2 linked regions of the Drosophila melanogaster genome follow. The gene in region 1 interacts genetically with each later gene. Each region holds a gene or a part of one and is shown in the gene's direction. Other genes may lie near its edges.

Region 1 (16,916 bases):
TCATCTTGTTCTGCGCCTTGGACAGCTGCAGCTGGATAAGTTTAGCTTGGCGCTGCTCCGCCTCTGCCTTGCGCTGGTGATAAGCGCCCATCTCCTGAGCCAGTTCACTCTGCTTTAGTAATGCAGGGCTGTGCTGAAAGGTGATCTGGCGACCACTAGCGTTTACCCTGCCTGTGGGCGGTACGAGGCGCCGCTTGACATCCGCGCTTCGCACGAAAAAGGACCCTGCCGCATCCTCGGCGCGGGCCTTGCGACTGTTTTTCCCGACCAGGATTTCTACATCATCGCCCGTGCTGGACTTGAAGTTTATCACTCGCACCTTAGAGGGGTCAAGGTTCCGTCCAAAGCGCAATTCCGTCCGAACTAGGGCTGGCTTTCCGGTTACGCTCGGGCCTTCGTCTATGCGCGATAAGGATATACAGCTTGGCAAGCAGACCATAAGAACAATAAAGGATTGCCATCCCGAGCAGCGTGGCTTTGCCATCCTCAATATAGTGGCGGACGCTGCAAAGATAGCGCGATTAGTGATTTGGTTAAAAATTTGGCTTGATGATTATGTATGCAAAAAAATTGTATAACTTGTTGGGTGTTTGAAAGATACGTATGATGGACATTAAAATCGAATTTCTTATTTTGCCAAAATCTCTGAGGGTTGCATTCCATATAGTAACGATGAGCATGCAGGGTGTGGTGTGCGAGGCAATAACCCCCTGATATAAACATATAGCCGTAACATTAGCATCAAATTGTTGTCATAAACTCAGGGGAAATTGGAAAAATTAACATTTTGAAAATTGAACTATTTAGCCGCTGAAGAGAACGGTCCAATATGATTGCACTATTGTGTAGTAGGCTGCTCCTTCTACCCTCTTCCTTTACTCTTAGTCATACATACCTAATTATACATAGCCAATCTAGTCATAAGCTTATACACTCATACACCCATCCTTAACATACAAATATTATCGAGAAACTTATCGACTAATCGACTCGCCACTCTGCAGAGAGCGCGGCAGTCAGTCGCTGTTGAACCAAGCTAAAGGACAGATCAAAATAAAAGAGACACGTGAAATTGTATTAGAATATTAACTTCTGTAAACGGCGGCTAAAATCTCAGAAGTGGGATTAATAATCCAAAATGGACGATAAAATCATCCTGAACGACTTTTCGCTGACAACCCTAAAAGATTGGCTACGTATTCTGGGCCAAAATACGGAGGGCACAAAAACCGAATTAATCGCGAGGCTGCAAGACATCCCAACGGCAGTTCGGGGCGATTGTCCACCGGAGCACCCCCAGAAAAACGCTCCACCAGGAAACGACATTTTTTCTTCACTGGATTTTCAGAATTGTGAAATTAACACCGATCACGTAAGTGTGAATGCGATGAACAGAAAAGAATCAACCGAAACTGGCAGTGAGAGGGAGACAAACATGTTCGAGCTACAGCAACTACGCGCAGAGCTAGCAGAAGCGAAGGCAATGCTTAACGGAACACGATCGAGCTTGCAGTTCCAAGAACAACAACAACCAGAGCAAAGCAAGGCTACAGTTAGTTCCGTTATCCAGACGGCGCAGTTTACGCAGGCTGGCGCCACAAAAGAGAACACAACATTTCACTCGCCGCAGCGATCCAACGAGAGAGCGGAGAGCCAGCGTTTTCCAGTTGATGCTCTCGCTCTCGCCAAAGAGACGATAACCGATTACGATGGGAAAACTTGCGCGCGTGCCTGGATAACAGTGGTCAAAAATATCGCACGCACTTTCAACATCGATGACAACCATTTACGCATCTTACTCATCACTAAACTTAAAGGAAACGCGCAAGTCTGGTTACATGCGCACCCTGCTCGATTGATCGAACCAATTGACAATTTGCTTGATCAATTGTCATTGACTTTTGGCGAGCAATCATCCAAGGCTGAGATCCGGCGAAAATTCGAGAGTCGCAAGTGGAAAACCGAGGAGAATTTCTGCAGTTATTACGACGAGAAGATGGCTCTCTCAAACGGGATAAACATCGACGACGACGAACTACTGGACCAGATGATAGAGGGCATACCGCTACAAAATTTCCGTACCCAAGCACGGATTCAATGCTTCTCTACTCCATCGGAGATGCTACGCGCATTTTCGAACATCCGTTTGCCAGCTCGGAGGGAGCCACCTGTACAGCCAACCGACTACAAAGATGCCATACGATGCGCAAACTGTAATTCAAGAGGACACAAAGCTGACATCTGCAAGAAGCCCAAACGTGAACCAGGTTCGTGCTACGCCTGTGGACAACTTGGACACCTGGTGGCACAATGTCCCACAAGGAAGAGCGTTTCATCTAATAATTATGTAAGATGGTTTAAAATTAATTTTTTTGAAAATGCTTATAAGCCCATAATTTCAGAATGCCTCATAGACTCTGGCAGTCCTATATCTATCATTAAAAAGTCACTTATTAACGAGACAATGAAGTTAGCCCTAGTTAATACTTGCTATTTTGGTTTAAACAACTGTATTCTCAAAACACATGGACAAACCACATGTTATGTATTGAAAGGATCAATAAAAATATATTTTCGTTTAATCATTGTTTGCGACCAGTCTATGAGGTATAATGTTATTCTCGGCAGAGATTTTTTAACTGCATGCAATTTAAATTTAGACCCGTACACCTTGGGAATGATTGCGTTGAGAAAACCCATGGAAATAAACAAAATATCAATGTTTACTGAAAATGATAGTCCTGAGAAATCTTTAGAAAATGAAATTGTTAGTCCAAAATCGTTAGAGAATGAAATTGTTAGTTCACAATCGTTAGAAAATGAAATTGTTAGCCCCAAATCGTTAGAGAATGAAATTGTTAGTCCAAAATCGTTTAAAAATACAACTATTAGTCCGAAATCGTTAGAAAATAAAATCGTTAATCAACAGCATAAAGAAACTGGTCCAATATCGTTAAGAGATGAAATAGTTAATCAACAAAAGAATGTCAGTAAATCAAAATTATCAGAAGATGAAATTGTTAACACTTCAAAAGAAATCGTTAGTTTTAAATTGCCAAAAGATAAAAACGTTTACGAACAATTAAATCACAACTTTGATAAGGAAGTACTAAGAATATGTCATGTAACTGAAAGTGAGTTAGAATACAAAATAGGAGAAAATGTTAGCAATAGGTTACAACTAGAATTCGATAGGTTGTTTAGAAATTTTTATATAAATGCAAAAAGGCCAAATGAACCGACAGTTAGAAGTGAAATACAATTGTGTTTGAAAAACCCGAAACCGTTTAGCTGTTCTCCTAGGAGGCTTTCATACACAGAAAAAGACAGGTTACAAAAACTATTAGACGAATATTTGGAAAACGGATTTATACGACCAAGCGACTCGGAATATGCATCGCCTATTGTTTTAGTGAAAAAGAAAACTGGAGACTTACGTATGTGCGTCGACTTTAGAAAACTTAATAAAATGACAATGAAAGACAACTATCCTCTACCTCTTATAGATGACTTGTTAGATAGAATGAATGAGAAAACTGTTTTCACCAAACTCGATCTTAAAAACGGTTTTTTCCACGTGCATGTTAAAAAAGAATCAATAAAATACACCTCTTTCGTTACACCATTAGGCCAATACGAGTGGCTGCGAATGCCATTTGGCCTCAAAAACGCCCCGTCTGTGTTCCAAAGATTTGTTAACAAAATTTTTGCTGATATGATTAGAGAAAACAAAGTAGTAGTATATATGGACGACATTCTATTGGCAACCGAAAATATAAACGAACACTTAGAAACGTTGAAAGAAATTTTTAAAAGATTAGTTGAAAATAAACTTGAATTAAGAATAGACAAATGTGAGTTTATGCAATCGAGTATAAAATATCTTGGGTTCATAATAAATAAAGACGGCATAATGCCCAATGACAAAGGAATCGAGGCAATAAAAAATTTCCCAATACCTAATAATGCTCATACAGTACAAAGTTTTTTGGGATTATGCTCATATTTTCGACGGTTTATAAAAGATTTTTCTAGACTAGCTAAACCATTGCATGACATTCTAAAAAAAGATAAACCGTTCAAATTTGGTAGTGAAGAAATGATTTGTTTTAATATGTTAAAAGATAAATTAATACAGTCACCGGTCTTAGCTATATACAACCATAAACACGAAACAGAATTGCATTGTGATGCAAGTTCTTCTGGATTCGGTGCTGTACTTATGCAAAAGAAGGAGGACCAGAAATGGCACCCAGTTTCATTCTTTTCAAAACGGACAACAGATATTGAATCAAAATACCACAGTTTCGAGTTAGAAACTTTAGCCATTGTTTATTCGTTACGTAGATTTAGAGTTTATCTTCATTGGAGGACATTTAAAATAGTCACCGACTGCAACTCATTAATTTTGACCCTAAGCAAAAAAGAGCTAAACCCTAGGATAGCCAGGTGGGCTTTAGAATTCCAAGGTTATGATTTTGAAATTGTGCATAGGGCAGGTAGCCGCATGCAACATGTTGACGCACTGAGTAGGTGTACAAATATTATGGTAATACAAACAAACAGTTTCGAAGATAATCTAGTTATATGTCAAGGGAAAGATACAAAATTAAAAGAAATCAGGCAATTGTTAGAAAACACAGAAAATAAATTGTATGAGATGAGAAATGGTATAGTTTACAAAAAGACAAATGAAAATAGATTGCTGTTCTACGTTCCGATAGAAATGGAAGAACAAGTGTTATACAAATATCACAACGAACTTGGACACGTAGGAAGAGACAAAATGATAGAAGCTATAATGAAAAACTATTGGTTTCCAAATTTAAAACAGAAGTGTAGCACACATATCAGCAACTGTTTAAAATGTATTTCATTCAGTCCCAAAACAGGAAAAACAGAAGGATTTCTACACAACATACCTAAGGGAAACAAACCTTTTGAAATAATCCATATTGACCATTATGGTCCAGTAGACTTGGCTAGACCGAAGAAACATATTCTAGTGATAGTAGATGCATTCACAAAGTTTGTCAGACTATACGCAACAAAAACTACGAACACAAAAGAAGTCATACAATCGTTAAATGACTACTTCAGAGCATACAGTAGGCCTAAGTGTATCATATCAGATAGAGGAGCATGTTTCACGTCTGGCGATTTTGACTCATTTTTGAAAGAATGCAATGTTAAACACATAAAAATTGCAACAGGATCGCCACAAGCCAACGGTCAAGTTGAACGTATAAACCGAAGTCTTGGTCCAATGATTAGCAAGTTAATTGAACCTGATCAAGGTCTACACTGGGACTTAGTCTTAGAAAAGGTCGAATATACCCTGAACAATACACTACACCGCAGCATTAAACAGTATCCTAGCATAATGTTATTTGGGTTACAACAAAAAGGACAAATTATGGATGAGTTAAAAGAAAAAATTGAGGAAATTGGAGAAACGATTGAAGAAAGAGATTTAGAAAGTATTAGAAATAAAGGCGAGGCAAGTCAGAAAATAGCACAAGCATACAATAAAGAATATGTTGACAAAAAACGAAAACGATCAGGAGTGTTCACAAAAGGCGACTACGTCATGGTTAAAAATTTTGACTCAACAACAGGCATAGCTAAGAAGTTAATTCCAAAGCATAAAGGACCCTATGTCATAAGCAAAGTTCTCAAAAATGATCGCTTCCTTCTGGAAGATGTTGATGGATTTCAAATTTCTCGCAATCCTTACCGGGGTGTATGGAGCATACAGAATATAAAACACTGGCAAAGAAAAATTAAGAGTCTACAAAATAGAAAGTATAATTTGAGAAACTCTGTACAAAATAGAAAGTATAATTTGAGAAACTCTGTACAAAATAGAAAGTATAATTTAAGAAACTCTGTACGAAATAGAAAGTATAATTTAAGAAGCAATTGTAAAACAAAGAAAACAAACAAGAAGAAAAGAAAACCAAAAAAATGTTTAAGACCGTTCAAAAGTATCTCCACTAAGAAGAATAAAATAAGAAACAGGACCCTTAGCTTTAAGAAACGTTAATTGTTATAAAATCCTACGATCGGGAGATCTAGTTGTCAGGACGGCCGAGTTGTAGTAGGCTGCTCCTTCTACCCTCTTCCTTTACTCTTAGTCATACATACCTAATTATACATAGCCAATCTAGTCATAAGCTTATACACTCATACACCCATCCTTAACATACAAATATTATCGAGAAACTTATCGACTAATCGACTCGCCACTCTGCAGAGAGCGCGGCAGTCAGTCGCTGTTGAACCAAGCTAAAGGACAGATCAAAATAAAAGAGACACGTGAAATTGTATTAGAATATTAACTTCTGTAAACGGCGGCTAAAATTGTATTTTTTCTTATAACACACTTCAAAATAATTTCAACAGCCCGTTCATAAGGTACTAAAAAAAGATTTTACCATCCCTTTCGATGTGTTTTTTTCGATATAACCAGTCTCTGCCATCCATTGCTTTTTGTTTGTGCCGCAAGCTTCCAGTATTTATAAATTTCTGGTATCAAATTTCTGACGATAATAATAATAATATAATAATAATGGTTTTAATAAATTTATTAAAAATTAATTAAACTGGTTTCTTCCGCAACTTAGCTGACTTGGTATTAGAAATTAGGCGATAATCAACAAAAGTGGAAAACAAAAGTTAAGAATAGCTGTTAAAATAATGACGATTACCCGCTTCAGTGCTATTGCAATCAATATCCAATAAATAAGGAATGCTGGCTTAACAGATTTCCCGCGTGTTCTCAAATAAATTATTTACAGGCCAGGTATGGCTGCTCCTCTGCAGTTTGGCTGCTTTTGCGTGATGTGCTGGGTGCGTTGGGCTCAGAAAGCGAAACACCAAATAAATTGAAACTTTCGTTTGCACGCTACAGTTTTTACTTTGACGGAAACGATGCTGAAACGTCGAAAGCCGCATTTCCTGAGTAACAACGTGCTCTACCTAAGATCATTCATCTTCTGGTCGAATGAAACTGGAAAGTTCAACATTCAAAACAGAAGTAATCGATACCATAATTTGCATTAAATGAACCACAAATGAGAGATGAAAAATAAGATGATAAAGATTCGTCTAGAGATCTTTCTGTCTTTCTATTCTGCTGGGTAACGCTTTCTGTGAGCGGTCAATGCGACGATTACCGGCAATTCGATTTTCTCATCGGGCGTTGGCAAAGATATTACGCATACGCCTCGGTCACGCTAACGACAATCCAATAAGTAACTAATAAAGGAAAATTGGCCGACAAAAAGCTGAAAGAAACAATTAGGAAAATTGTAAATTGCGTTTTCAACTCAAACGCGGCCGCTAAAGTTCACGTCCGCCGCTACTATTGCCGCTGACAATGGAGCTCTGGGTGGCTAACCGAGCATTGCTCGTCGACGCAAATCGCTGCGCTCTGCTCGGCAAAACTTTCACTTTCAACTCGACTCGGCCAACTACATCGCTTTGCGCCTCTTCTCCAATACTCCTGCCTAAATCCACGCTATCGCTTCTTCCTATGACTTGGCTTGCTTGCAGGTGGCCATGAACCCTATTCCTAAAGATTACGCGGTCAGCAAATCGATTTATTGCTAGAAATCGGGACAAGGGCACAGCAAATACCTGTAAATTCTTTAGTGTTTTTCTTTGTTTCCAAAACATAGTTGCCAATTTTTCCATGATAAAATTGATTAGTATTAACCGATTTATTTTTATTTAATGATTGCAAAACTGTGCTACTAAATGCAATAGGTAGTCTTAAAATATTTCGGAATATCGACAGAATCTGGCAAGACAATTGTGTTAATTGTTCCCGAGACGAGATGTCATGCTGGCCAAGGTACTTCCTTAAATTGAAAATTAACTTCGCAAGACTAAACGTTATTATCGCCCTTTGTTCAAATTTGTCATGCACATAGAAATAATTACTAATTGTGCTAATAGCTGACACTTCAAATGAAAATGAAACATTCATTCGGAGGTTTATAATTTTTAAAGAAATCGAATAAAATGTACTCCCATTTGGACAAAACAGAATTTGTTTCGAAGAGCTTACTTTTACAATAGGTAGGCAAGCTTTACTTTCATTAGTATTTCAATAGTTTTTCGGAGAACCATTTTAAATAATTCTGAGAACACACTAGGCAAACAAGATAATTATACCACCTAATAGACCATGCTCATTGACAATCTCGATCGCATACCGATTCGACAAAGTTACCCTAAGAGCGTTAAAACTAGTTCCGAACTTGAACTGTACGGACTTTCAGGACTCTTTTCAGCCGTTCCGTCCTCTCCGGTCGGGAGACTTTGACAGAGTTGACACTGCAGTTAAATTTGGACAGCGGTCCGTCTTTTGGGTCACTGCTTACCGCTAAGAATTACGTCACTAACGCCATCTGAAGATTGTAGCGATGAGTAAGAGGCGGAAGCCAAGACATTCATCTCGAGCGTAGCCCACTGTTGCGGTCATAAGCGTCGCATAACAGCGGCTTGGGGACGAGTGATGAAATTTGAAATGCAGTCTGCACTTATAGTTTCCCTTGATTCGATTCGAGTCATGCAGAGAGCGATGTCTTTTGCATTCGGAATCCACTTAATCACGGGCTTACAGCCACGTTGCTTAGAATAGCTGCCCCGGCGAAACCAGCTCTCTCTGTGACCTAAAGAGGGGGAGGCTCAATTGGGCTTCCATTAACTTCTTGGGGCCCCTGTCAGGTGTCAATCAAGTCGAGTTTGCTCTGCAACGCGTCGGATATTGTGAGGCGGGCATACAACAAAGACTGAATTTAAATGGCGGCCACGCCTGCAATCGCTCACGCCTCCAGCTGGAGAGGTTGAACCCAAATCAAAGGGGTCGGTGGCACAAGTACACTGCGAGAATGAATATGATTCTTTCGGGGCTCAGCTCATACTTCAATTTACACGTCCCAGAGGGATTTGGACGTGGCCAGGGCTCGACCGGTACAGATATTACACATCAGCACAGCTACTTGGTGCTCCCCCTAACTCAGATTTTTTCCCGTGTAGCCCGCGTAGGCAATCGATTGTAATCGACGACGACGACGTTTTCTGTGCCTGCCAGCTGGTGCAGTGGCTGTCGCCACTGCCATGTGCGAAATGCAAATGCGAGGGGCGGCTAACGAAGCTAGTGCTGACTCGACCCGTAATATTTTACTTTTACTTTTTATGATTAACATTTCCCACCCAAGGTGGAGGGCCCAAAACGAGCTCTTTACTTATCCACACATTCGTATTTTCGTGGCGGACGATGCGCAATGAGATGAGAAATGCCGAGATCGTAACTTCCAAGATAGCTCGCCGCCGCGATGCCCAGCGTTAAATTATGTTTTTGTCTTTTAATTAACATTACTCGTGTTAGTCGCTTCCCTGCGCCCACCAACCCCCTCCCACTCGCCTCCCTTCTGGCACCGCTCCCACCTACCTACTTGGCCCTGGGTGTCGCAATTGAAAGTGAAACTCTGTTTCCTTTCGACTGCCAGTGGAGTCACAGGTTGGTGGGCCGATCTGGTCTCTTTGGGGGCCAACGCACGAGCTGAAGTGTGAAATGTGAAATGTGTCATCGTCTGGAGTGCGCTGTCCCGAGAGCGGATCTTCTAGGGCTTCCAGACTGAACAGGTTTCGTTGCGGTAGGTCGTACTAAAAGTCTGACACTGAAGACCCTCAAACCAGCCGGCTCGGCAATGGTTACCCGGGAATTACTTAAGAGTCGTATCAAAAGCTCAAAGTTGCGGTGGCCAGGTACTGTTATTGTACCAGCTTGATTGATGAACATCAAATGGCAGATAGTGCGCATACGCACCGTGTTACGCCAGAGACACTCACATTTCTTTAACCAGAAGCTCGATAGGACTTTCAGGGGTGGGCAACGCTCTGCCTCGTCTTCCGCCGAACAGGATGTGGTTCTGATGGTGGGACTCAACGTTTAGTTTCTCGCCAGCGGAGGTGATTTGAAAGCGCGACAGATCGCAGCGCGAACCGAAATACAACTGACGGTGGTTGAAAAGTTTTGCTTGCAAGTAAAAAAGCAGCGAGCTGGAAAACGGCAGAAAAAGTAAAATTATTATGTATACACATGTATGTTTAGAGGCCGATGGCGCAGGCAGCAGCAGACCGAGCGCTGCCAGCGATACTCAGCCAGAAAGCCAGAAAGCCAGACATACGGCAAAGTGGAGCTACGGATCCCGCCCGGTACCGCCCGAGCCCGTCTGTGGCTTCCCCCAACCGCCCCCCAACCGTCCTCCATGCTGCCCAATCGGGCCCAGAGCCGCCAAAGCCGAGGCTAAAACCATCTCCATCTCCGAGCCAAACCAAGGCGAAATTGCTCTCGGTATCAGCAACATTAACTGCGACTGAGTCGGTAAACAAAGCCAAAGCACGCCAAAAAAGAGGCAGCCGAAATGAGCAAGCAATTGCGCAATTGCGTCGCTGCCAGCAGCTCCAACATCAGCAGCAGCGATCGGTGCACAGTGGTACAAGCGCTGTTGCTTGATAGGATTGTGCCGATTAGGCCAATAAGGCCGATTAGGCCGACTAGGCTTCCGATACCTCCTCATATACTAGTGCGAGCAAAGACACTAGAATATTCTAGGGTCTTTGGTGCGAGCGATGCAGCATACATTTTATTTCACTGCTTCTCTTATCTAGAATAACTAAGTTTCTGGGAGTTTTCAAACGGAGTCCCACAGTGCGACGGCGTGCGGCTTCGGAGCTGTTTTATAATTTTTTTGCGTTTGTTCAATCTTGTTTCTTATTTTTGGGCAAGCGGCTGTATCTAGCTTGTCACTCAAAGGAAACATCTTCACTGTCTACCGCTAATTCCTCGGAATTTCAGCCAAACACTGGCTTCCTTTATCCATTGGGTGGAGGGATGTGGGGGAACATTGATTTCTATAAAAAACGAGTAGAATATTTAATGACTACCAAATAGAATATAGTTTCCAAAATTAAAAAATAATTCTAATGCTTACGAGAGAATAAAAAAAAGGTAATGACAAATAACCAAAAGTATCGCTATGGTTGTGCGCCTATTATACTAACCATTATAAATTGTTAAGTAAATAAATAAATACATACATATGACTTCAGTAATACTGAATAAAATAAATGTGTGGCTCGAAGAGAAGGTTGAGTGCACTTTTTGGTATTAAAGAGCAAAACTTATTCCAACTCAGAAATTCGAAAAAAGTTTACAAATGAGGCTGAATTCATACATATGTATGTAGATTTTCAAAGAATTTATTTTTGTCATTTACATACGTAAATCTTTTAATACGTGTTTACTGTGTTGAAAAGATAAATAACGGACTGAAAAAGCGGGGAAAAAGCCACTTTCAAAACAATCAGTGCGCCAATTTGCTAGAATTGATTCGAATTCGACTAACTCTGCTGCTAAGATCAAGGAATTGGTCGGAGTAAAGGCGCGATCAGAAATGCAGAACACCTGAAGCGTCTAAAAATCAAGAAAAAGCCCCTTTGAATGCATCACGCAAGGAAAGCGGCTTCAATTCGCGAAAAATATATATATTCCAATCTGACACTCGACTAAATGATTGGCGTTCAGTTGTCTTTACTGATGAAAAACTTTTTTATTTAGATGGCCCTGATGGCTTTTAATATTATTATCACGATTTGCGGAAAGATTAGCTATATTTAAGTCGCCATCATAACGGAGAAGAGGAATAATGACGTGCGGTGCTTTATGAAACAATTGACTTGATTTTTATCGACCGAAAGATGAATGGCGATCGCTTCAAAACATTGCTGGAGTCCGTATTTCCAAAATTTAAAGATCTCTTTCGACAAATTCCTTGGATTTTTCCACAAGGCAATGCTCGTATTCATTATTTCGAGTCAAAACGTTAATATCATGACCTGGCCACCATATTCTCCAGATCTTAACGTAACTGAAAAAGTTTTTTCGGGCTGGCTAACATTAGAAGGTATACACAGGAGAAAAGCAATACGAATATAAGAAAACATTAGCAGAGCTATTTAATATGCTTTGAGCGAAATTTCCTTGAAATTTCCATCCTAGATGTCTTGTACCAGGCTATAAAGGACCGGATTTATATAGTTATTACTAACAGTACTCATTACTAAAATTACTTTTTTATTTAAAAGAAGTGAAATAGTAATGCCAACTCATAATTTAACTTAAGTGGATCTAATACTTTACTTATAAAAATTAAAAAGACAAAGTGCGCCTATTCTAATGACCAAGAAAATTTCGCCTTATGTTGATTAAGTATGTATTTTGTTAAGTATGTATAATCATTTGAATATTAAATTGATGTATCATTAAATATGAAATGTTCTTGCATATCAACTTATTTTCGATCGTCAATTAATAAATAAATATGAAGCAAAGTTGTATGGAACTAAACATGCGTTTAACTTAGGATATGTATATATATATATATATATATATATATATATATATATACATATATTATATATATAAATATATAAATATATTTATATATTTAATTTGAATCGGTTCGTGGTGCGTTTCCGTGAGCTTAAATATTCAATTATTAAGTACAACATTTTTACCAAGAAACATTAACATTTAGATTTGTAAGTTTTGGTACGCGTAGTGACGAATAGCACCGATAGTGGAGTGCACTGCAATATTTCCATGCTGATTGAAACTGCAGAAAGTAAAAGTGAACATTTTTTAATAATTTTGAAAAACTAAAAATATACTCTTTTTGTTACATTCTGCTTGAATGCACCGTGCCAACTATTCCTTGTGGTTCAAATAACAACAGTGCGAAAATATTTAAAATATACGTATTGGCTTTGTTTTAAAACCCTCCAAATGACAATAAAGTAAGATTAATAAATGTTAGAATTATGTCTACATTTAAATATATTTAACTGGTAGCCATACGATTGTAGAATCTGCTCTTTCCCGCTTACAGATATACTTGTACTAAGGAAGAAGAAGGCTTTTGGAAAGTTTGCAACATCCGGATGGGCAGACACGAATGTATGTACATATATACTTTAAATGATTTAATATACCCTCAGCAAGAGAATAAAGAATATAGTCATATATATTAAACATATTTTTAACAATCGTAATTGTTTGTTTAAGATCTTAGTCTTATGAGGCCAGTTTATGGTCATGGTTCTATGGTGCACTAAAATTTATTTCATTTAATATATTTTTAAAACTCAAATAACATCAAATAACAACAGTCATATGTGGGGGAACTAATATATTATTTATAATATGAGACCCTTGGTCACTTCATAATCATTCGCAGCCTAATAGGTTCAAGGGCCGGCGCCTCTCACTACATATTTGAATCTTAAGTAAACAGAGAAGTAATTGCTGTGTGCGCTATCGTTAAAAAAAAGTGGTTTGAAGAACGATTACAGCCGTTGGTACATTCGTAAGTGGGATAAGATCCAAGCAGTCGCATCATCGCCCGTACCAGACCAAGGGAGGCCACAGTTTACTGCCAATTTTCGCCATATTCATGGCGTCTGTGCTGCTGGGCGGGGTCTTAGAGTTAAAGGCTTTTTAATTAACGTAAATTTCACTTTTTCATTAAACATGTAACATTGCGAGGCATCCACGGAACATGACAACTTGAAGCGTGAGAGGAAAGACCAATATTATCTGCCGTAGAAACTGAAGATGCTCCTGTCAGCCAGCTTCTTTGGCGTATACTGCCACGCATCGGACCTAGACCCCACCTCCAGTGCTTCCTGATCCTGCCCCTGATCCTGCAGTGCGTCGCGAACGAAGAATACTCCTCTGGCGCCAAAGCGCAGGCAGCTGAAGCGGTACTCGAAGAACTGGCTGGCCAGAACTTTAAAGACCACCGACAGACATATCTGCATGTTGCCCTCGCCGAACGCACGGATGTCGTAGAGTCTGAGGCAGCTGGAGAGCGGCAGCGGCACGCAGTATTCGGGCGGATTTCGAGTCGAGAACCCGAAGGTTGCCACCTTGCGCTGGTTTATCTCGACGCTGAGGCGCAGACCTAGATCCGCCCGGGTGTAGTCGAGGGCGGCGCACAACCGCTGGTTGGCTGATTCGCCGAGTCCCAGAGCCAGGCCAAGGCAGCACCGGCAAGAGAACTCGACGCAGGAGCAGGGCTGCCAGAGCTGGGGTAGCTCTACGATGTTACCGTTCACGGGCTGCCGTCTGCCCCGCGAAACAGCCGAGTACCGCAGCGGCTCCAGCTGTTGGCCACTAAAGGGGTTGTAGATAACCAGTCGTGGCACTGCACCCGGAAAATCAGCGGGACTCGGATCCCGCCCCAGCGCGTCTAGAGCGTAGAACTCCGTCCGACAGGGCACGACGACCGTCGTCAGCAGGCAGATCAGTCCGGGGATATTTCTTAGTCGCCGGCACATGGTGGCTATAGTTTCAAAGTCCAGATCCAGGGGTCTCGGGGTTTTTTCTATAGCGTGCTCTCGGCTGCAGTTGTGCAAACAGAATGCTCCCGCTGTTTGCCTACAGAGGGGTTTTCCACGACCCCGACCGCTTTGCAGGCGCACCAAATGGCGCGGAAAATGTTTATTTTTATTGTCTTACATTAAACGGCTTTGGCCGAATGCGGCTCCCTGAAAATTGTGTCAATGCTAGATCGGGGGCATCGATACAACGTGGGAGTAGGGCGGTGGTAATTAGTACACTGATAAGGTTGTGTATTTTGCATTCGACAAATCTCCACGCGTTACGTGAAACTGGCCAGGTGCACACAGCAAATTGCAAGCTTAACTTCAATGTCCAAAATAAGCGGAGCTCGGTTTGCGCAAACTTACGGCCATATCGGTCATCTGTAACTATCCGTATTCGCCAGCGGCCCAAGCGTAGCGCAACACAGCTCTCAATTATCCAAAGACAGATGTGTAAATATACTGCCGTTACCAACTTGTTGCTGTTCCACGGAGGGGAGGTGCCCCAAAGGCTTACTAGTCATACTCCATTTCTTCATTCCGACGGCCAGCTGTTGCAGCGGTTGTCCCCTGGGTTTCCCCTTAGCTGTTGACTTCAATCAGCCAACTCTACCTGGCACAATGTACATAGGAAACTCAAACTTCAGAGCTGGACCTTGAATTGGCTCAAAGACACATGCACGCTTGATGCACAGCTAAATGCGGGAATTTACTCAGGCGACTCAAAGGGGAATGACTTTTCGAAAAAAGTGTTTAACCTTTCAATTACATTTTATTTTCTTTCAAAGCTGTCACAGCCCCAGTCAAAAATGCAATACCTCTAGACCTCTGATAAATGTGGTTGTGTGCGCTCTTTTAACCGTATCAAGCTAAATGGGTACTTGTTGAAGAGTATGAACTAGCGGAAGGAACTCTTTAGAGCATATATCTTGACATGACTGCTCGTACAAAAACTGTGATCTCTTAAAACCTCGCAAGGGCGTTGGCACTGCACGCATTTTAAATATAATACAATCACCTCAGGTGCAATCTTAAAGCCAGGATTAAACGTCTGAATTTTGAAGAGTCAACATACAAAATGTTTGCTTAAAAGCACTCTAAATTTAGTCGAAATTCATAATCTAGTTATCCGCGCGCCACATCGATAAGAGCCCAGCGTCAAATATCGATAAGAGCACAGCGCCACATATCGATGGTGAGCCAGGCCTGCGCGATCAAGCTATCGGAGCAAACTGATTCCGCTCCACCCTGCTGAGGAACCTGCTCCTCCGCAGCCCTGGATTCTTTTTATTTTTTTGTGGCCACGGCGCTACGAAAATGTTTTAGTTCAGTTAACGGGCGCCAGATATTTTAGGTGTATCACTTGTCGATTACAGCCTTCTAGCATTGGCCACCACCAAAATGGGCGAGTTCTTTAAGTCGCTCAACCTCAACTACTTCTCCTCTAGCGAGGTCAACGGAGCTGCAGGAAACGGAGCACCAGAGGCCCTCGGTGGCAGGCTGGACAATGACTTCGTGGGCCAGGTCGTTGAAGTCGCTGGACACAGGCTGCGCATCAAGTGTGTCATCGCCGAAGGTGAGGAACGTGGGTGGAAAAATCAATAGGAAGTGAAGCCGAAGCCACCAGGCCGATCCAAGAACTTAAATGCTTCTTGTTTGCGCTTTCCGAGCTCGAGAGGCGCAGCTCTGCTTGAGCCAAGCCAACGGACGAATTGTGGCGATAGTGCATTGCCACCATCACGGTTACGCGTTACCGCTGGTGCCCACCTGCGAGCCATGGCACATTAAACCGATCGGGTTTTTTTTTAACAAGTTCTTATATAAGAACAACAGTGGCCTGAAGGTGGCTGAAAGTTCGTAGCTCTGCAGGGAGCTGGAAGACAGAATTCGTAAATATATAGCAGGCTACCAGCCGGTCAACCCCTTCCTCCGAGCGTGCCGCACTTAGCACTTAGGCAGGGCCTTATCTGTGCCTCGTTATCTACTTGTCTCTCGCTTCCACCCCCTTTTTCAGGCGGATACGCCTTCGTGTATGTAGCCCAAGATGTGCAAACTGGCACAGAATACGCCCTCAAGCGTCTGATCGGGGCTGACATGCAAGCCTCCACCGCCATCATCAACGAGATCAACATCCACAAGCAGCTGTCGGGGCACGAGAACATTGTCGCCTTTGTGGGTTCCAGTTATACCGCCCCATCAACTCAATTGGGAGCCCAGTACTTGCTCCTCACCGAGCTGTGTAAAGGTAAGGGACGCCCTAGGGCGTCCAATCATACTACGTGAACATTTGAGCACATGGATTTCTATCCTTGTCAGGCGGATCTCTGGTGGACTGCTTCAGAACAAACAATGCTCCATTCAATCCGACTTGTGTTCTGCGCATCTTCTACCAAATGGCGCGGGCTGTGGCCAGCTTGCACTCACAGTCACCGCCGATAGCCCACCGAGATATAAAG
Region 2 (16,916 bases), on another chromosome or scaffold:
TCGGCACGTGCGGGGAAATGCCGCCAGTCTGGCTGCAGATTATTGTTGCACTTTACTCGCCGCTCGCGTTTTGTTTGCGCAATGCTTTACAAATTTTCCATGGAAAGTTTGAGACGCTACTCGGGTATCCGAGAATTCGCACTTGATTTTTTTTTTTGTGCACCATGGAAAATTTGAGAAGCCCGTGTAGTCAAGTAGTGACGTGCATGCTTTCGCACATAAACAATGCTGATGAATGGGGCCACGGGCACGTGAAAACATAGTTTTTCCTCAATGCGATAGAAAGATGAAATTTATGGTTGTGTTGACAATTGTGTGTGGAATCTCAAATTGGTCTAATCTGGATTTTGCAGACAGGAAACGTGGGGCAACAGCAGTTCGAATTGTTTACTTGCTTTTACTTTTATGCCGCCTGGCCAAAGATCGATACAAGCTATCAACCTTTGATATTAATGGCTATAATATGAGCCATCAGCTTACGCAGGCCATTGTGTTTATGACTATTTGCTGAAAACTACTTCTTTGTAGTCAATCTGAATCATATGTTTGGCCTCGTTTGCGTTTCATGCGCAAAATACATGAACAACATTTCCGTATAGTCTGCTTCGGGATACCAAAACAACAACAACGAACCGAGAGCGGGTTTCTTGATTATTAAATATTGTTGCCGTCCAGTTTGCCCGGATCAGTGCTAAAAATCGTTAACGCAGTAAGTGAATATGTAAATTCACCAGAAAAGTGGCTTGTAAACAATAACAACCAGCACACGAGTTGTTTATGCGAATTAAAGTCACACCATGCGAGTTTTGTGAACTGATAAAGCGAACCCAAGTTGGGATGGTTAGAAAATCCAGAGCTAGTGGTTTCGCCGCAATGAACCTCCTTGAATCCGGTGGCTTCTCGATTTGGCAACAGCTGTTTTCTATTGACTTGCGCAAGGCCTTTATGGCGATGACGCATTTTGGCCAAACGAAACCCGTTTATCTTGCTTTTGATTTTCTGCTCTTGCTCGTTTTTAATCACGTGACCACTTGACTCGACTGTACATTGCAATGGCTTTGTTAACGGCAACTTTCAGCGGCAACTGTCCGGTTTATGTGGCACAAGCGCCAGTTCCAGTGGCTAAAAACGAGTTCCAACTGTTGCCATGCGGGAAGTCGACTGATTCAGCACTCTGCGACCTTATCGCTGCGACTTTATCGAGTGCATGTCGAAAAACTCTTTACGCTGGCCAAAACCAATGTGGTTGCTTAGTCGTAAATACCCCAAAAGAACTTGCCTCTTGGGCTGTCCAGTCTCCTTTCAAGGTCACCCATGAGGATGCTATAAATAGTCTAGAAGCGAAGACGAGCCCCTTTCTTCTGCCTGGTACTGTTGTCAGGCCAGATCTTATGATTGCCCAGCTCATATAGAATATGTCGTCCCATATAAATAGCTAAGTATCTGCTAATGGGCGCGAAAACAAGTAGAGTGGCTGATTTCGACGCTCCCAGCTTATCGCATCCGCTGGCAATTAATGCTATCTATCTGCTTTTGGCGAAAACAACTTTGGCCACGGGCCTGGACTTGTTGGTTTCGGAGTCAACAACTGATATTCCCGTAGACGTACAGTTGCCTAGGTGAAGAGCAATACACACAATATGACGCATTCGCCGGCCCTTCAGTGACAGTATCCATAATCATAATCGTGCCAGACCCAAGGCTGCAATGTCTAGACATGTTTATCATTTACGAGCGTGATTCCTTCTCCACTTGCAGTTAACGATGGCCGGACAGCTACGGTGCCGCAATACCGGGGACTGAGCAGCGCCTTCACCACGATTTTCCGGCAAGAGGGCTTCCGCGGACTCTACAAAGGCGTCACCCCCAATGTCTGGGGATCGGGCTCCTCTTGGGGCCTGTACTTCATGTTGTAAGTACTTTGCTCTACTGATAATGGTAACAAACCTAAATGTAAATACTCCCTTCAGCTACAACACCATTAAGACATTTATCCAAGGAGGAAACACGACCATGCCATTGGGCCCCACAATGAACATGCTTGCAGCTGCTGAGTCGGGAATTCTCACCCTGCTGCTGACCAACCCCATCTGGGTGGTGAAGACGCGTCTCTGCCTGCAGTGCGATGCCGCGAGTAGTGCCGAGTACAGGGGCATGATCCACGCCTTGGGCCAGATATACAAGGAGGAGGGAATCCGTGGCCTGTACCGCGGCTTTGTTCCCGGCATGTTGGGCGTCTCCCACGGAGCCATCCAGTTCATGACCTACGAGGAGCTGAAGAACGCCTACAACGAATATCGCAAACTGCCCATCGACACGAAGCTGGTGAGTAGGCAGATCACAAATGACCAACCCATCACATGACCAAGCTGCGCGTGGCGTTGACATCGCCTATATACTAAATTGGGTGAACAGATGCGGTTAACTTAATAGCACAAAATTATTACTTATACAAATAACAAAATACTTTGAAGTCTTTAAGTTTAATGCGTAACGTTCAAAAATTGAAAATCTATCGAGTACTTTTTTTTCAATTACTTTTTTCGTTAGAAGACTTTCTTAATCAGAAAAATATTTGTTCGCTTTGTTATATTTTGTGTGACCACATCTGTATCTGTATCCGAATATATCTGGTTGTGATGACGTCTCCGCCATTTGGCAGCCATTCAGCTCATTCTGTTCGCCTCACTAATGTGTGCTCCCTCACCCACAGGCCACCACCGAGTACTTGGCCTTCGCGGCTGTCTCCAAGCTGATCGCAGCGGCGGCCACCTACCCGTACCAGGTGGTCCGGGCACGGCTGCAGGACCACCATCACCGATACAACGGCACCTGGGACTGCATCAAACAGACTTGGAGGTACGAGCGCATGCGAGGTTTCTATAAGGGCCTGGTGCCCTACCTGGTCCACGTCACGCCCAACATCTGCATGGTCATGCTGATCTGGGAGAAGCTGACCAGCTAGATGGAGTATTAGTACTAGATCATCGAATCTGGAATCTGACAGAGAATTTAAGCTAAGCACCTAGAATACACGAATCTTTCTCGTTTCCTCCGATGTGCAGCTAACAGCAGAAAATGACAAACTTATTCTGTATTATTGTTGTAACTCGATTTCGGTTTAGCCCTAGCACCTTACTTTAGCCTTAAGTGTATTCCATATCTAGTTTATTGTACATCCTTCACTCCCAACTTCGAAAGTAACTGATGTGATCGGGGCGTCGTCAAAATAGCCCCTGCCCATGAAATGTAATTTCAAAAACGCATTTCTTGCACTCTTCATCAAAACAAACACATATTTAGTTCTTAGTTTAGTTAAATTATTTATTCTATAACGGCTTGGAATTGTGTAAGCACAAAGAAAAACCAGTTACTGTTTAGTTGATACAAAATTTCGTTTTGGCAAAAAGATTCTTCATAGTTTTTGAAAATGGTTTATAATTTTAAGGATAAACCTTGACATTTATGTAAATAAGCATAAACGCATTGTGAAACCAACTTAGTCCTACAGTGGAACAATCTTATTGAAATCAAAGAAAAGATAAGAAATGCGAAATTACTTACCCATATTAAAAGGCCACGATGGCAGACCTAAATGAAAACCAAGAAACAAACTAAAGCAAACACTGTCAGCGCGTCCAGCCTGCGTCTTTTCATTTGTCCAAGGGCTCATGGCAGCTTGAGTAAGTAGTCCTTGCTCCTTCCGCTCCCTAAGTCTTCGATCACCCCCTTAATTGTGCAGAATCTCTTTGCTAATCTGAAACAGCCAATGCGCCCTTACTGTAAGTAGATGTAGCTTTCAGTTCTCAGTCTCTAACCGCATTGTGTTTGGTTCTCTTTGCAGGTTTGAGGGCTACAGAGGCTTCTACAAGGGGCTGAAGGCGAGTTTAACCCGAGTAGTGCCTGCCTGCATGGTCACCTTTCTGGTGTACGAGAACGTCTCGCATTTCCTGCTCGCCAGGCGGAAGCGAATTGAGACTAAAGAGGATGCGTCGGACGTGTGATTTTCCTTTGGTTGGATTCCTTTTAGGCTTCTAAGATACATATATCACCTCACGACATTTCCATATGTCTCTATAGTCAGCGGGCAGTTGCAATCGTGCTGAGCATGCGCAGCTGCTTTTAGTTTAAGTTTAGTTAGTTGTTGCGAAGACTTATTTGGTCTTTTCGTAGTAAGTAAAGTGATTGTTGTTCCTAAGTGTGGATCAGAATGGATTTGTGATTGAATTCAGACGAAAGTGTTACAATATACCTGTGAAATATAAGTCCATAGCCTCACTCTTGCAAATAAACCAAATCTTTGTGAGCCAAAGAATGCCTTTTTCTGGGTGTGATATCCTTGTTTAAATGAATAATAATAAAAAAAATAAACTATCTGGAAAATTATACCATCTGGCATCTTTATAGATCGTGTAAGCTTTGCAAAAAGCAACCACAGTGGTATCCCTCTAGGAGTAGTATATATTTTTATATTTGAATTAACGCCGCTCTAACTTAAAAATCGATTTACCGCCAAACGATGCGGATTTCAATCTAGTCCGACTCGGAGTCCGTTTAACGGTTTTCTACGTAGAGCTTTTCGCAAAGCTCTCGCTTTCGGATTTGTTCGTGCGACAAAGTTTTCCTTTTGTTTTCGGTTCAGTTATAAACTGAAATTACTGGAGGTCGGACGTCTCGAGGCTCGGAATCACTGTTGTTGTTGTTTTGCGCCGTCTTGGCTCGTGTTGTTGTTGTCTTGCGTAGTATTGCGTGCCTGGAAATCGAACGTGTGTGAATTTAATTTACGATTCGTATAATTATCAGCAAGAGCAAACAATATAAGTTGCAAACGACCGTTTAAGCCCTATGACACTAAGATCCAAAGTAAGTGGCTACCACCGAACTGTTCCATTTGCATTTGAAACCAGTTTCCAGCGATTCGAGTGCATGAAATTGTCCAAAAAAGTGCAACGGTCGAGTTCAACAAACCGATCGATTGAGATAACACCGCAAATATATAGCTGTGAAACTCGCAAATAAATACCTACATATTCTTCTGATAAGTTCAAGAACAGTCTAGCCATTGTTTACCGTTAGACCAGAACCACATGTTGCTCGGGATCCGCGTTCCGAAGAGCGAGAGTTATACGTCTGTGCCTGGAGAGGGCCACTAGAGCGCGTGTGAACGACCTTGACTGGGCGGGGGCGTTAGATAACTGCGGAGAAGGTCTAAAGATCACACTCACCCACCCCGTATCGGTGGTTGCATGGCAACCGGCGTCATCCAGAGTAGCGTTGTCTCCACCTCCGCCGGACGCCAGAATATCTGCGACTGCCTGGAACAGGAGTCCGCCGGATTGGTCAAGGCCCTGCCCAAATCCAAGTCGGCCGATCAGCTCTCGGAACTCACCTGCGCCTGCCTGCGCTGCCAGTACCTGGCCACGGATCTTCAGCATCCGAACACCCAGTCCGGTCACCTGCCCGTGGAGCACAGACACCGACCCGTGAGCTCAGGCTCCGGTTCACTGGGCGCCCTCAGCGCCAAGGAGTCGCCCATCTTCGTGCGCCGCCAGATCTGTTTCCCGTCCGCGGAGACCCAGCTGCATCCGCCGCTCAGCTCCTCCCAGTTCTCGCTGCGAAGTGCTTCTCCGGCCTACGCCGAGCCCAAGCCGGAGTTGGATCTCGGCGCCATAGAGGCGCTGCAACTGACCACGGTCATGCCCGCGGGAGTCAACCGTAACCACATGGACATCAACAGGAACAACGGATACCTGCACAACGGAGTAAGTACCTCCACCATAACCCGCAATGGAAAGTGTTTGCCTACAGCCGGCACGTGCCAAAATGTAATGTGGGGAGGAGGGACATACTTTAAACAATTAAAAGGGCGTGAACCCATATGTTAGGGATCAGAATGCACCTACATTCATATGTACTTGGTAATTACTGGTTATTATTTTTAATTTGAAAAAGGAAATCTTAAATAGTGAAGCATTAGCAAATAGTCATAGCACACCAACTTTCATGCGATTTTAAATTGGCGTTAAATGATGACTTTTCAAAAAAAAATATATACTCTTTTTTTTGCAAGTGTGGGAAATGCCCAAAAATAAGTTGGCCAAGTGTTGCAATGGCTTTCGCTATTTCGCCTCGTCAGGCCGTTAACACAACCAGCTTGTACTCATTAGCCGTTTTAGTTGCTCAGAGAACTTTGCGGAAACCCACCAGATGGGATTACGGAGCGTGAATAATGCACGGAATGTGGAATATCGCAATGGGGAATATCACAATGCACTGATACAAATAATTACATTTTAATTTAATTTCATCTAAGGATTTTTCCACGAACATTCTAATTTCCCTATTGAAATAAATATGAATCAAATTTAAGGCAAGTTCAAAAGTCCATAAATTAACATTTATATTTTAATACTATCTATACTATAGATAAAAATCGAAGCTTTTTTTTATCAGTGTACCCATTTTATTACGTTTTTCCACCCACACTACAAAATGAATTTCCCTTTCAGAATTAGTTTGCTTCTAATCTTCAATCGACCGATTGCCATTTTCCCAATGCCAATTTTACCAATTAAATGGTAATGAAATTACAATTGCTTTTTCATTGGATACCCAGCTCAGTTACAAGCCAGACGATAAAATCAAAACAATGTGAAGCGGGGCTACGGATATGGTCATACTACACATTCCACATAGAAGGGTCGGATTCGGGGACGGAACCATGTGGGTGTGTTGAGCTACTTAAGTGATTGCCGGGTTAGCCGGCTATAGATATCCGCTACTGTTGAGAAACTATAATGCGGATTGGAAGGAGGTAGGCTACGGATTCGGTTCATCAGACATAGGCAAAGTCACGTTTGAAGGTCAATTATGGAAGCAAGCTAGGAAAGTGTGGGCTCTTTAATTACTGCCTGGCATTTCCAGCATTTCCCATTTACACATCGCACATGCATGTAGCTCGCTCGATGAATCACAAGGTCTTATTGCATTTCGGCCACTATCTAATCAGGGCCCTCTCGCCTCCTCTTCCTCCCCCTTTTATGGGCGACTCCATTGCGTGATAAGATATGAGCTGGCACTACACTCCATGCCACCCACCGATAATACGCAAAGCAGCGTGTGCAGAGTCCATTGAGGGATCGCTGTACGCCACTCGCAGAGCATCCTCCTTATGTAATCGAGCTCCAACTCCCTCGGCGCATCGCTGGCCAAGGCAATGCACTCCACTTCACTCCGCAGTGTTGTTTGTGTGTCTTTACGTTTGTGGCCGACTGATTAATTTACATGACAATTGCCCGGGCAAACTGATAAGCATATGTACATATGTACATGCATGTACATATTTACTATGGTAACTGTAAGAGTATCGCTCTGCCGCCGCAGTATCGTATCACGCAATCCAGGTTGCCAATCTTAAAATTCCAATGCCAACTATCTTTGTGCACGCAGTCTCCATGTTTATCAACCTGCGATATTTTGAGGTATTATATTTAAACGAATGCTTTGAACTTTGACAGTTAAAGTACATCGCACTGAACTAACTTTCATTAAATAAAATTCATATTATTTATACGTAAATGTCGTACTTCAACAATTACTTAAATCATGGACTTTTAGTAATCAAAATAATTTTGGTTTTAATAGCATAGTATTCCTTATCAAATTGACAAATATTTGCAATAACTAACACCGCCGTCAACTTGTTATTCTACTTTTTACACTTACATATCAGATTTTATTGCATACTTTTGGGGTTCAGTTAGAAACCTTCGGATTAAACGACTGAAAATGGGCTTAGCCATAATAGTACTTTCCCAAGCTATCTAAAAAGACAGGTGTCTTTAGATTCGCTTGATTTTACGCCTGCCGTGATACATGCAATCCCAGTAGTTTCCATTCCAGGAACTCATTCACGTGCTCACTTCCTCTTGTTGAGCTCACTTGCACGTGATTGCTGGCCGATGCGGGTGGGGGGCTCCTAGCCACTGCCATTCGGTATCCGATTTACGGAAAAGAAGTCCGTGCAGGACTTCGCCACATCGGGGCATCCGTGTGGCTTTTGTTCGGAATGGGGTCGTCAGGGGGCACTTGCAGGCGCCTGACTTTCAGATGGAGGCCGAATGCTTCGCATAGCTCTTCTGTTTTCTGTTTTCCGGCTGGATTGCGTGTAAACATCTGCGGGCACAAAGGAACTCTTCCACGTTCGACATTTATGCGAAAGTGAATTTCTAATGCTTTCGGTTTCCAAGGCACATTATGGTTTAAAAGCCCTCTGCTCCGTAACTGGAATTTTTAAGGCTTGAGAAAATGTGTTTGCTGTAATCTCCCATGAATTATGTAAGCTGATTCGACTGTTGACTTGTCCCCGATTTCAGAATGTGCAAATCGGTTAGGCTACAGACAGCGCTCTTTATGGTGAATTACATTTAGAACGCTTTACTTTACTGTGCAATCGCATTGATTAATGCCTGGTCTAAATAACCAATAGCTATTAGTTTATAGGAAAATATAAGTCATCAAAGAACAATCACTTTCAATGATGTAGTGCTCCAAAAGAAAACGGCTTTCAGAAAACAGGATGGATAAGTAGTAATCTAGCAATATTGCAAATGGGTTGTTTTAAAGGAATCTGAAATGGTTACTAACCCTAGTGATAAGCATAAAGCTAATCAAATATAGGCAAATATTGTTTTTACCAATAAATTATTCTTTAATTTAATTTATAGTCAAACTATAAGTTCAAAAGGGTGTTTGGTAATAATACTATACATTTTTAAAAGTATTGATAACTACCCCACTGCTCAATGATATCGCAACCGCAGCAAAGTGCCTGTATAAGGAACTGTAATATCTAATTAAGTCAGATCTGAAGCAACTTCCGTACATCTGTAAGATACGATCTATCCATACATACATACATACATATGTGTGCCATCCCGTTTGCGTTTCGGGTTATTACTTGGGTAATCGTATATGGGCCACATATCTCCTTCCCTGTCGCTCTGCTCGATGCACTGCGGCTAACCACGTTTTGTAATAAGCGTAATTCTATATAGTCACGTCGAGCAGTAAGTCGACAGTCGGCCAAGACAGCGGCCAATCCGCCAGATTGATGTGTCGCCCACTTAATGCCGAGCGACTCTTTTGGGACAAGTTGATGCGGCAAATCCTCAGCTTAAAGGAAGCCCGCCAAGTGCGGCGGAGCACGTTCTGGGTTGCTTGGAGAGGTCAGGTCCAGATATGGACACTGGGCGCCCTGCTCCACTGGTTGTGCCGGATGATTGGGTGCTCGTCATCGTAGCATCACGGCATCATGGCATTATGCATTACCTCGATCCAAATTATAGAGCCCAGTGATTCCGGAGCAGGGCTAACCAGCCGGACAACTGGCGTCGATTATGGCGGGCCACCGGACACTGGCCAATCTTTGTCCGGGGATTGCTTGATAAGCGGGTGCCAGCCGTCCAATCGGCCCATTCAAAGGCCCACCGGCTCTTCTCACGCTCATTTCGCAAGCGATTTGGAGGCGGCAACCAGTGTTGGTAAGCACCTGGCCAGCTATAGCGATTTTCGTAACTGTAATGCTAAACCTCTCACCACAAAAGGGGATGGTGCGGGGGCGGGACCAACGGGGCGAATACAAAATTTATAAAAGCCTAGTCGTCGGCACTGGGGATTTTAGTGCGCGTTCGTTTAGTCTGGGCAACGGTTGCTTAAAAAAAAAAAGCTCGAGGATCGTGCAGGATCAGGACTGGAAATCAAGCTGGAGCAAATGGAATCTGTGTAGAATCGCTAGGGATCAACAGCGTCAGTTGAAAATATGCCCAACGTGGACGAGCAGCGGGGAAAAGCAGCTACAAAGAGAGCGGAATCGGAGCAATCGGAGGAAAAGGGTGACCGCCAGGAGGGGGACGGGGATCCGAAAGACGAGTCTGAGGAGGCCACCGCGAAGATCAAGGGCCGTTCCCGATTCACTGCGGCTCTGCGAAGCCTCTCGAAGACCAAAACCAAAAGGGAAAGGGAGCTGGATAAAAGCACCGACAGGGAAACACGCAGCGCGGAGGAAGAGGCTCAGGAAACCCCAGGCGAGCTCGAAGACGTGGCCAGCTCCATCTCCACGGACAGTGGAGCCCTCGGCAAGACCAAGAAAAAGAGCCTGACGCGCCGCCTGCTTCTTGGAGGCCTGAGAAAAAGTGGGAAAACGCCGAAGGGGCGGCCCCACAGCTTGGCGACCAGCGACGACATCAGCGTGGAGCACCTGGAAACAACACCCCTGCCATCGCCACCCGGTTCGCCCACCTCCGCCGGCAGCAGCACGCTGCAGATCACCATCAGTGGCAAGAAGGTGGAGCCATCGCCCGCCAAGAAGAGCGGCAAGAGCAGACCCAAGAGCGACACGGATTATCTGACACCCGCCGCAGAAGAAAGGAAACCGAGAAAGAAAACCACTACCACCACCGTGACCACGAGAGATACGAGCAGCAGCACCCGCACCACCAAGCTGCTGGTGTCGAAGAAGAAGCCCCAGAGCCCCGAGAGAGAGTCCCCATCGGCGTCGCCGTCGCCGCTTATCACCACCACCGAGAGCACGCGCGATACGCCGCCCAGAGAACGGGCGCCAGCAAAACCAAGTCGCGTTCAGTCAGCCAGCGGCACCGGAGCTGTTCGCAAGTCCCAATCCTCGAGCGCATCCAGCAGGAAGCTGGAATTGATGCAGCAGCAGCAGCAGCGCGGCCACCGCCTCAACGCCAGACCACTGGCTGAACTAGCGAACACGGAACCCCAGCCATCAGGGCAGCAATCCCTGGACCCATCCACATCCCCTCCGGCGGCTGAGGACGGAGTCTCCTCGGCGGAAAGCGCCCAGACTATTGCTAATCCCCCGCCCGTTGTCCGCTTTGAAGTGGGCAGTGCAGTCAGGAGTCCCTTGAGTGCCTACGAAGCCGCATTGGCCGCCGCCGCCAGTCAACAGCCCAACTCCAACGAAGAGCTCAGCGACTCCAGCATCCGGCGTCTCAGCTTCGCTCAGCAGCAGCTCATCCTCGGCGACCACGACAGCATCGAGGGCAGGCGGGAAACACTGCACTATCAGTCGGTGGCTAGTGAATACTCCAACCAGGACTCCGGATCCGAGGACGATAGCGAGGAGCAGGCGGATACCACAGAGCCAGAGAACGCCAAGCCCATGCCGGCCTTCGGTGACCTGACCATGGATCAGGAAATGGAACCGGTAAGGTCTCGTCGTCGTCGGATTGCCAATTCGCCAGTTGTCATTTACCTACGAAGAAGCGAAGAAGCCCCACAAGTGATATGTTGGCCCCCTTATAGTGTGTGTTCCAGAGTGTCATTCAACTGTGCGGGCGGCGGGCGGTGGTAATAGCCCAGGGGGTCTCGTCAACTAACCAGCAAATCTCAGTGCGGATTGACGAGCAGCAGAAGGTGTAACTAATACCAGGCTTAGAATTTATTAAAGTGGTGAATTCTCACTTCCTATATTATATATTGATATGCTTTTATATAACTGAGTGTAAACGTGCTATGATAGAACAAACTTTACTACTTATTATAATTCGAAATGCACGGATTATTTATATTTGTATCTTGAAACCCAGAGCCCAAAAGTATGTATCTCTTTATCTTGAGATTTCAAGTCACAAGTGGGATTTCATTGTTTAGTGTATCAAATTTATCAAACTATTCTATTAAGCATGGATCGAACATACAAGTAACTCTCATCCAATCCTTGCTTGCAGGCCATCATGACATCCACCAGCGATAAGCGCGAGCATCTGTACAAGATTCTAGTCATTGGTGAACTGGGCACCGGCAAGACGTCCTTCATTAAGCGCTATGTGCACCAGTTCTTCAGCCAGAACTACAGGGCCACCATCGGCGTGGACTTCGCCCTGAAAGTGCTGCAGTGGGACGCCAATACGATAGTGCGCCTCCAGCTGTGGGATATCGCCGGTCAGGAGAGGTTTGGCAACATGACCCGTGTCTACTACAAGGAGGCGGTGGGCGCGTTCATCGTTTTTGATGTGACTCGCAGTGGGACTTTCGATTGCGTGAGCAAGTGGAAGGAAGATCTAGACTCCAAGGTGCAGCTGCCGGACGGCAGTCCCATTCCGTGCATCCTGCTGGCCAATAAAGTAAGTGATTGCCTAAAGGTTAAAGGAGACCGCATAATTTCTATATTATGTGATTAATACGTTGCTCATCCGTTTTCCAGTGCGACCAGGAAAAGCAGGGCATCATAACGCAGCCCGAGAAGATGGATGAGTATGTGAGGGAGAACGGATTTGCCGGTTGGTTTGAGACATCCGCCAAGGAGAATATCAACATCGATGAGGCAGCTCGTGCCCTCGTGAATAAGGTGATAATCGCTGCTAATGCCCAGCCAAAGCCCCGCTAATCTTCTTCCACTCGCCCGACAGATACTCATCAACGATAAGCTGATATCTGCCGATCTGGCCGATGGCGACAAGTTCAACTTGAGCGCGGCCGATGCAACCGGATCGGATGCCAAGAACAAGTGTTCCTGCTGACCTGGGACCGAGGTCCGGCGACTCCTATTCCCATTCCCAGTTTAAGAGCGAGTTTCAACACAGAAACGCCATGTGCCTACGTCCACTCCATGTTCATGTTGTTAGAAGATAGCGATAACTATGCTTAGGGTTTTAACGTAACATTTGTCTAAGACTTAGTGTCATCCGTATCATCCCGTCCGTCTTTATCTTTAACACCCCGTCTGTGGGTCCACAATGTTGCGCCGGCATCGGGATCCGTGTCACTTTGAGAATTTATATGGTGACACATAACATACCTACGCATACGAAACATTATTACTATCACCATCATTGCCCTAGTTGCGAGGATTAGCCGGAGGTAGTGCAGCATCCGTATCATAGCATACTACATTTGTGTAAAATGCGAATCGTCTTATTGTTTTGTTTGTTTTATTTGCCTCTGCTGGCGAGATTGTTTTATCTTGGAATTATTATTCTCGTATGCAAACACACTCTGCCATCATTATTTGTATTTAGATAACAATACGTACGCTTAATGCAATGCGAAATCAGAAATAAAGTTTTTAATGGTAGTTAAGTTCAGACGACGTGTTTTATTGGCTGAATAAATTCTGTGTAAGTGCTTTTGTGATACAATGAAAATGTTATGCTACTAGTATTTGCCTTCATTGAATCACTGGTCTTTGTAAATAAATACGAATAAAAGCTTTGTTTTTACATTTCCTTTTTTAACGGTAAAAAATCGTATCCCCAACCGGCAATGTTTTTCTTTTTTTTTAATATTCAAACTATCGATAGTTATCAACTATGGTATTCCTTATTGTTTAGTGATCACATATTAAACTTAAAAATAATGATATACAGATAAAAGTGTCGTGCGTTCATATTCTACATAAAATTATTAGCAATTATTTAATCGTTATGAAAAGCGAAACGTATAAACTGGTAATTGGTATGGGAAAAATTGGGAAAAAGCTGGAATCAGGTTTAATTGCAATTTGGTTTTATAAAATGTTTTATGGCACAAACAAACATCCTGACTCAAAAGTGAATTAAGCTTGAAACTTAAATACTCCGAGAATACCGTGAATATGCGTTTACCAATTGCTGCTGAACGGGACCACTATCGATAGAACCTTACAAACTATCGAATCGCTGCAAGACTATTGCCATCGATACTTGCACCTCTATTTATTAGTGTTGTGTAGCCGTGTTACTGCTAAATTGTTTATTGCAAAAATTCCGCAAACGAGAGATATTAGGAATAGAAGACAATATAACAATTGGGCAAAATGTGTTAGATGTTTAAGGTAAGCCACCGCCAGGGCTGCAGCTCGGCGGAGCCGTATCCAACGGTCCGCGCTCTGGGGGCCGCAGCATTCCGCACTCGTCACGTTTACTCCCCTTTTCTGGTCTTTGTTGGGGCTCCGTTGGCACTTCTGCTGATAAGTGCCCAAGTCGACTTAATTAATCAGTGCCCTGGAGTCGGGGGCAAGTCAATTGGATATTTGGAAACCGCTGGGAACGTGAACCAGCTGCGCGCCCGAAAGACCAGTCATGAATTGCCGCGGCTCTGATTTGACTCCCGTTCCCACACTCCATATCTCACTCACTTTCAGTTGCTGACTAATACTGGGTGGAAGGTAATCAGTTGGAATCGTCACAAGAAACGATGCTGCCGCCTAAGGAAAACGTCGATCTGGAGTGCTTCCTGGTGACCAAGCACTCCTGGAAGGGCAGGTATAAGCGCATCCTCTCCATCGGCACGGCCGGCATATCCACCTACAATCCGGACAAGCTTGACCTGACTAACAGGTGGTCCTATTCGGACATCGTAGCAGCAGCACCCTCAAAGACCACAAATGTGAGTTTATAAGATCCTACGGAGAGCTCGGAACTAAATAAATTGATCTTTCAGATACCCCATGACTTCGTGATTACCATCAAAAAGGATAAGAAACTAGATACAATCAAGTTATCGTCGGAATATCGGAACGATATCCTAAGCTCTATATTAAAGTACTACAAAGAGTTTGCGGACAAGCCGAAAAATGCTCAGGTTGGTTTTTGAGTCTCGCTTTAAATCCTATACTAATTTGGAAACACTTCTCCAACATTTCATGTGTGATTCAGATGTTTCTAATTAACATTTAAATATGCAATATGAATTCTAATCTGTCAAAATTTTAATTTTGAATACTATCTAAATTTTGTAGCGCTTTAGTGCTTACAAATACCACTGGTCGGGCATCAGTCTTCCCACAGTACTGGAGGTCACGCCCTGTTCTCTGGACCAGCTCGATCCCACCACCAACGACGTGCTGGCCAGCTATATGTACAAGGATATCGAGGGAATAATAGGTAGCTATGCACATTCGACTCGCTTGCATCAATTAATGTGTCTTGTTTTGTCCTCATGTGCCTCAATTACAATTCAATATGATCGCTCCGTGTTTTGTTCTTTTTTTTATTTTTGGTTACTTGCCGCACTCATCTTTCTTCCGCACACGTTTTAAGCAGGCATCTCGGACTATGAGGGAGGAATCGTGATGGCCTACGGCGGATTCAGTCGCCTCCATTTGTTTAAGGCGCTGAATCACCACGAAATCGTGCAGAACATAGCACAGAGATCGGCTCAGTTTCTGGGCATCGAAACCAAAATACTCAAGAGTCAGATCACTCTGGAGCAGTTCGAGAGGCAGCGGTTCGGCAAGTTTAGGTAAGTTCATGTGAAACGCAATAAAGAATTTGTAGAAAAAAAAAGCCATATAATATTTCAGTGGTGACCAGTTTCAAACCTCGTCGACCGAATTCTCGGTTCATAAGATAACGCCCCGCCATCCGGATCCGGTGAAGCGTATACTCTGCCTCACCGAGGTAACGCTGCTGGAGCGGGATCCTCAAACCTACAGCGTCTGCACCCTGCGTCCGCTCACTGATGTGTTTGCCTTAGTTAGAGACAAGGACAATCTTCAGCGCTTCAGCATCGAGTACAAGAATGGAATCGTGCGCAACTACAGCACCAACGACCGCGACTCATTGTTGGCCACTGTTCTGGATGCTGTCCGCTCCAGTGGCAATCAGGATGTGCACGTCCGCATTGGCAACACGCCGCGAGGGAAACGGTATGTGCCATTGAACAGCTCGGTGGACGAGGAGACGGAGGCGAATTTGATGCGCCTGGTTATCAACAATTTTCAAAACCCCTCTAAGCGGTATGAGATCTTGGAGCGCTTTAATGCCAATGTGCCTCACAGTGGCCTCAACTACAGTGTAACTCAGGATGTAGGTTAACCTAATGCTCGGATTCCGGTTCAACCTAACTAATGTTTCGTTTCACAGAGCTTGTTTGCTGAAAACAAAGATAAACTTATCCTGAGTGCCCTGCAAGCGTTGGCTCAAAAGGAGCTGGACAGCCCTACGGCCCAGCTGAGCAACTTGGAGCTGGAGGCTATCTTTCACGCTCTTACTCGTCTTCTCGCTAGCAAAGTTGGATACGCAGCCTTTACGAATCTCCCGGGGTAATATATTCTAGTTTCGTACTAATAGCATTGTTAATGTTTGAATACATTTCAGCTTTCGTGAGATTATCGGTACAAAGGTGGTGGCTGCTTTAAGACGCAAGGATTTGGCTGTGACATACTCCGCCATTGACATGATTAACTCGCTAATGCATTCTGTGAATTCTGACCATGATTTAAAACAGGAGCAACTTAACAAGTCATCCATTCTGTCATCAAAATCGTTTCTGGAAACTTTGCTCAACATGTGGACAACCCATGTGGTAATGTAACCATTCTAGAGTGCGGTCAATTCGTTTTGTAACTATTTATGATTTCAGAGCCATGGCAGTGGTGCTCTGGTACTCTCAGCCATGCTGGACTTCATGACCTTTGCCTTGTGTGTGCCTTACAGCGAGACCACTGACGGCAAGCAGTTCGATACTCTGCTGGAGCTGGTTGCCGATCGTGGACGCTATTTGTACAAACTGTTCCAGCATCCCTCGCTGGCGATCGTGAAGGGAGCTGGATTGGTGCTGCGGGCCATTATTGAAGAAGGCGAGCTGCAAGTGGCTCAGCAAATGCAAGCATTGGCTTTGGATGAGGCTGCGCTGTGCCGCCACTTACTGGTGGCACTGTATACGCCCTCCAATGATCCCACACAGACCACGCAACGTCAGTTGTCGCGGCATTTGATCGGGCTGTGGCTAACAGATAGTGAGGAGGCCATGGAACTCTTTAAACGCATATTCGTGAGTTATTCGAAATGTCCAATTCAATCAAGTTTGTCATATTATTTAAAATTACCAGCCCGCTGGCCTGTTAACCTTTTTGGAATCTGAGGAGACTGTTCCAGAGTCGGATGTCGAGGAGGACAAGCTAAACTTTC

The links.
Region 2: of aux (region 1) and Rab32, changing one enhances a phenotype caused by changing the other (phenotypic enhancement), as found in Drosophila melanogaster (one study listed by BioGRID).

What each region holds. Positions count from the first base shown.
Region 1 is NT_033777.3:4,205,282-4,222,197, forward strand, and holds the start of aux (auxilin), read left to right. Parts: upstream 1-6,501; 5' UTR 6,502-6,531; intron 6,532-6,626; 5' UTR 6,627-6,634; intron 6,635-9,841; exon of another isoform or gene 9,842-10,033; intron 10,034-12,162; 5' UTR 12,163-12,286; intron 12,287-12,965; 5' UTR 12,966-13,033; intron 13,034-13,181; exon of another isoform or gene 13,182-13,668; coding exon of another isoform or gene 13,669-14,415; exon of another isoform or gene 14,416-14,849; intron 14,850-15,704; exon of another isoform or gene 15,705-15,836; 5' UTR 15,837-15,861; coding exon 15,862-16,036; intron 16,037-16,474; coding exon 16,475-16,705; intron 16,706-16,776; coding exon 16,777-16,916. Other genes in the region: CG14636 (uncharacterized protein), read right to left, coding at 1-484; CG31516 (uncharacterized protein), read right to left, coding at 13,669-14,415.
Region 2 is NT_033778.4:9,174,063-9,190,978, reverse strand, and holds Rab32 (Rab32), read left to right. Parts: upstream 1-9,680; 5' UTR 9,681-9,820; coding exon 9,821-11,230; intron 11,231-11,632; exon of another isoform or gene 11,633-11,753; coding exon 11,754-12,149; intron 12,150-12,229; coding exon 12,230-12,373; intron 12,374-12,434; coding exon 12,435-12,545; 3' UTR 12,546-13,115; downstream 13,116-16,916. Other genes in the region: CG8026 (uncharacterized protein), read left to right, coding at 1,759-1,912, 1,971-2,325, 2,714-2,859, 3,845-4,004; Rme-8 (receptor mediated endocytosis 8), read left to right, coding at 14,200-14,391, 14,446-14,586, 14,744-14,888, 15,045-15,246, 15,308-15,812, 15,870-16,048, 16,104-16,311, 16,369-16,779 and 1 more.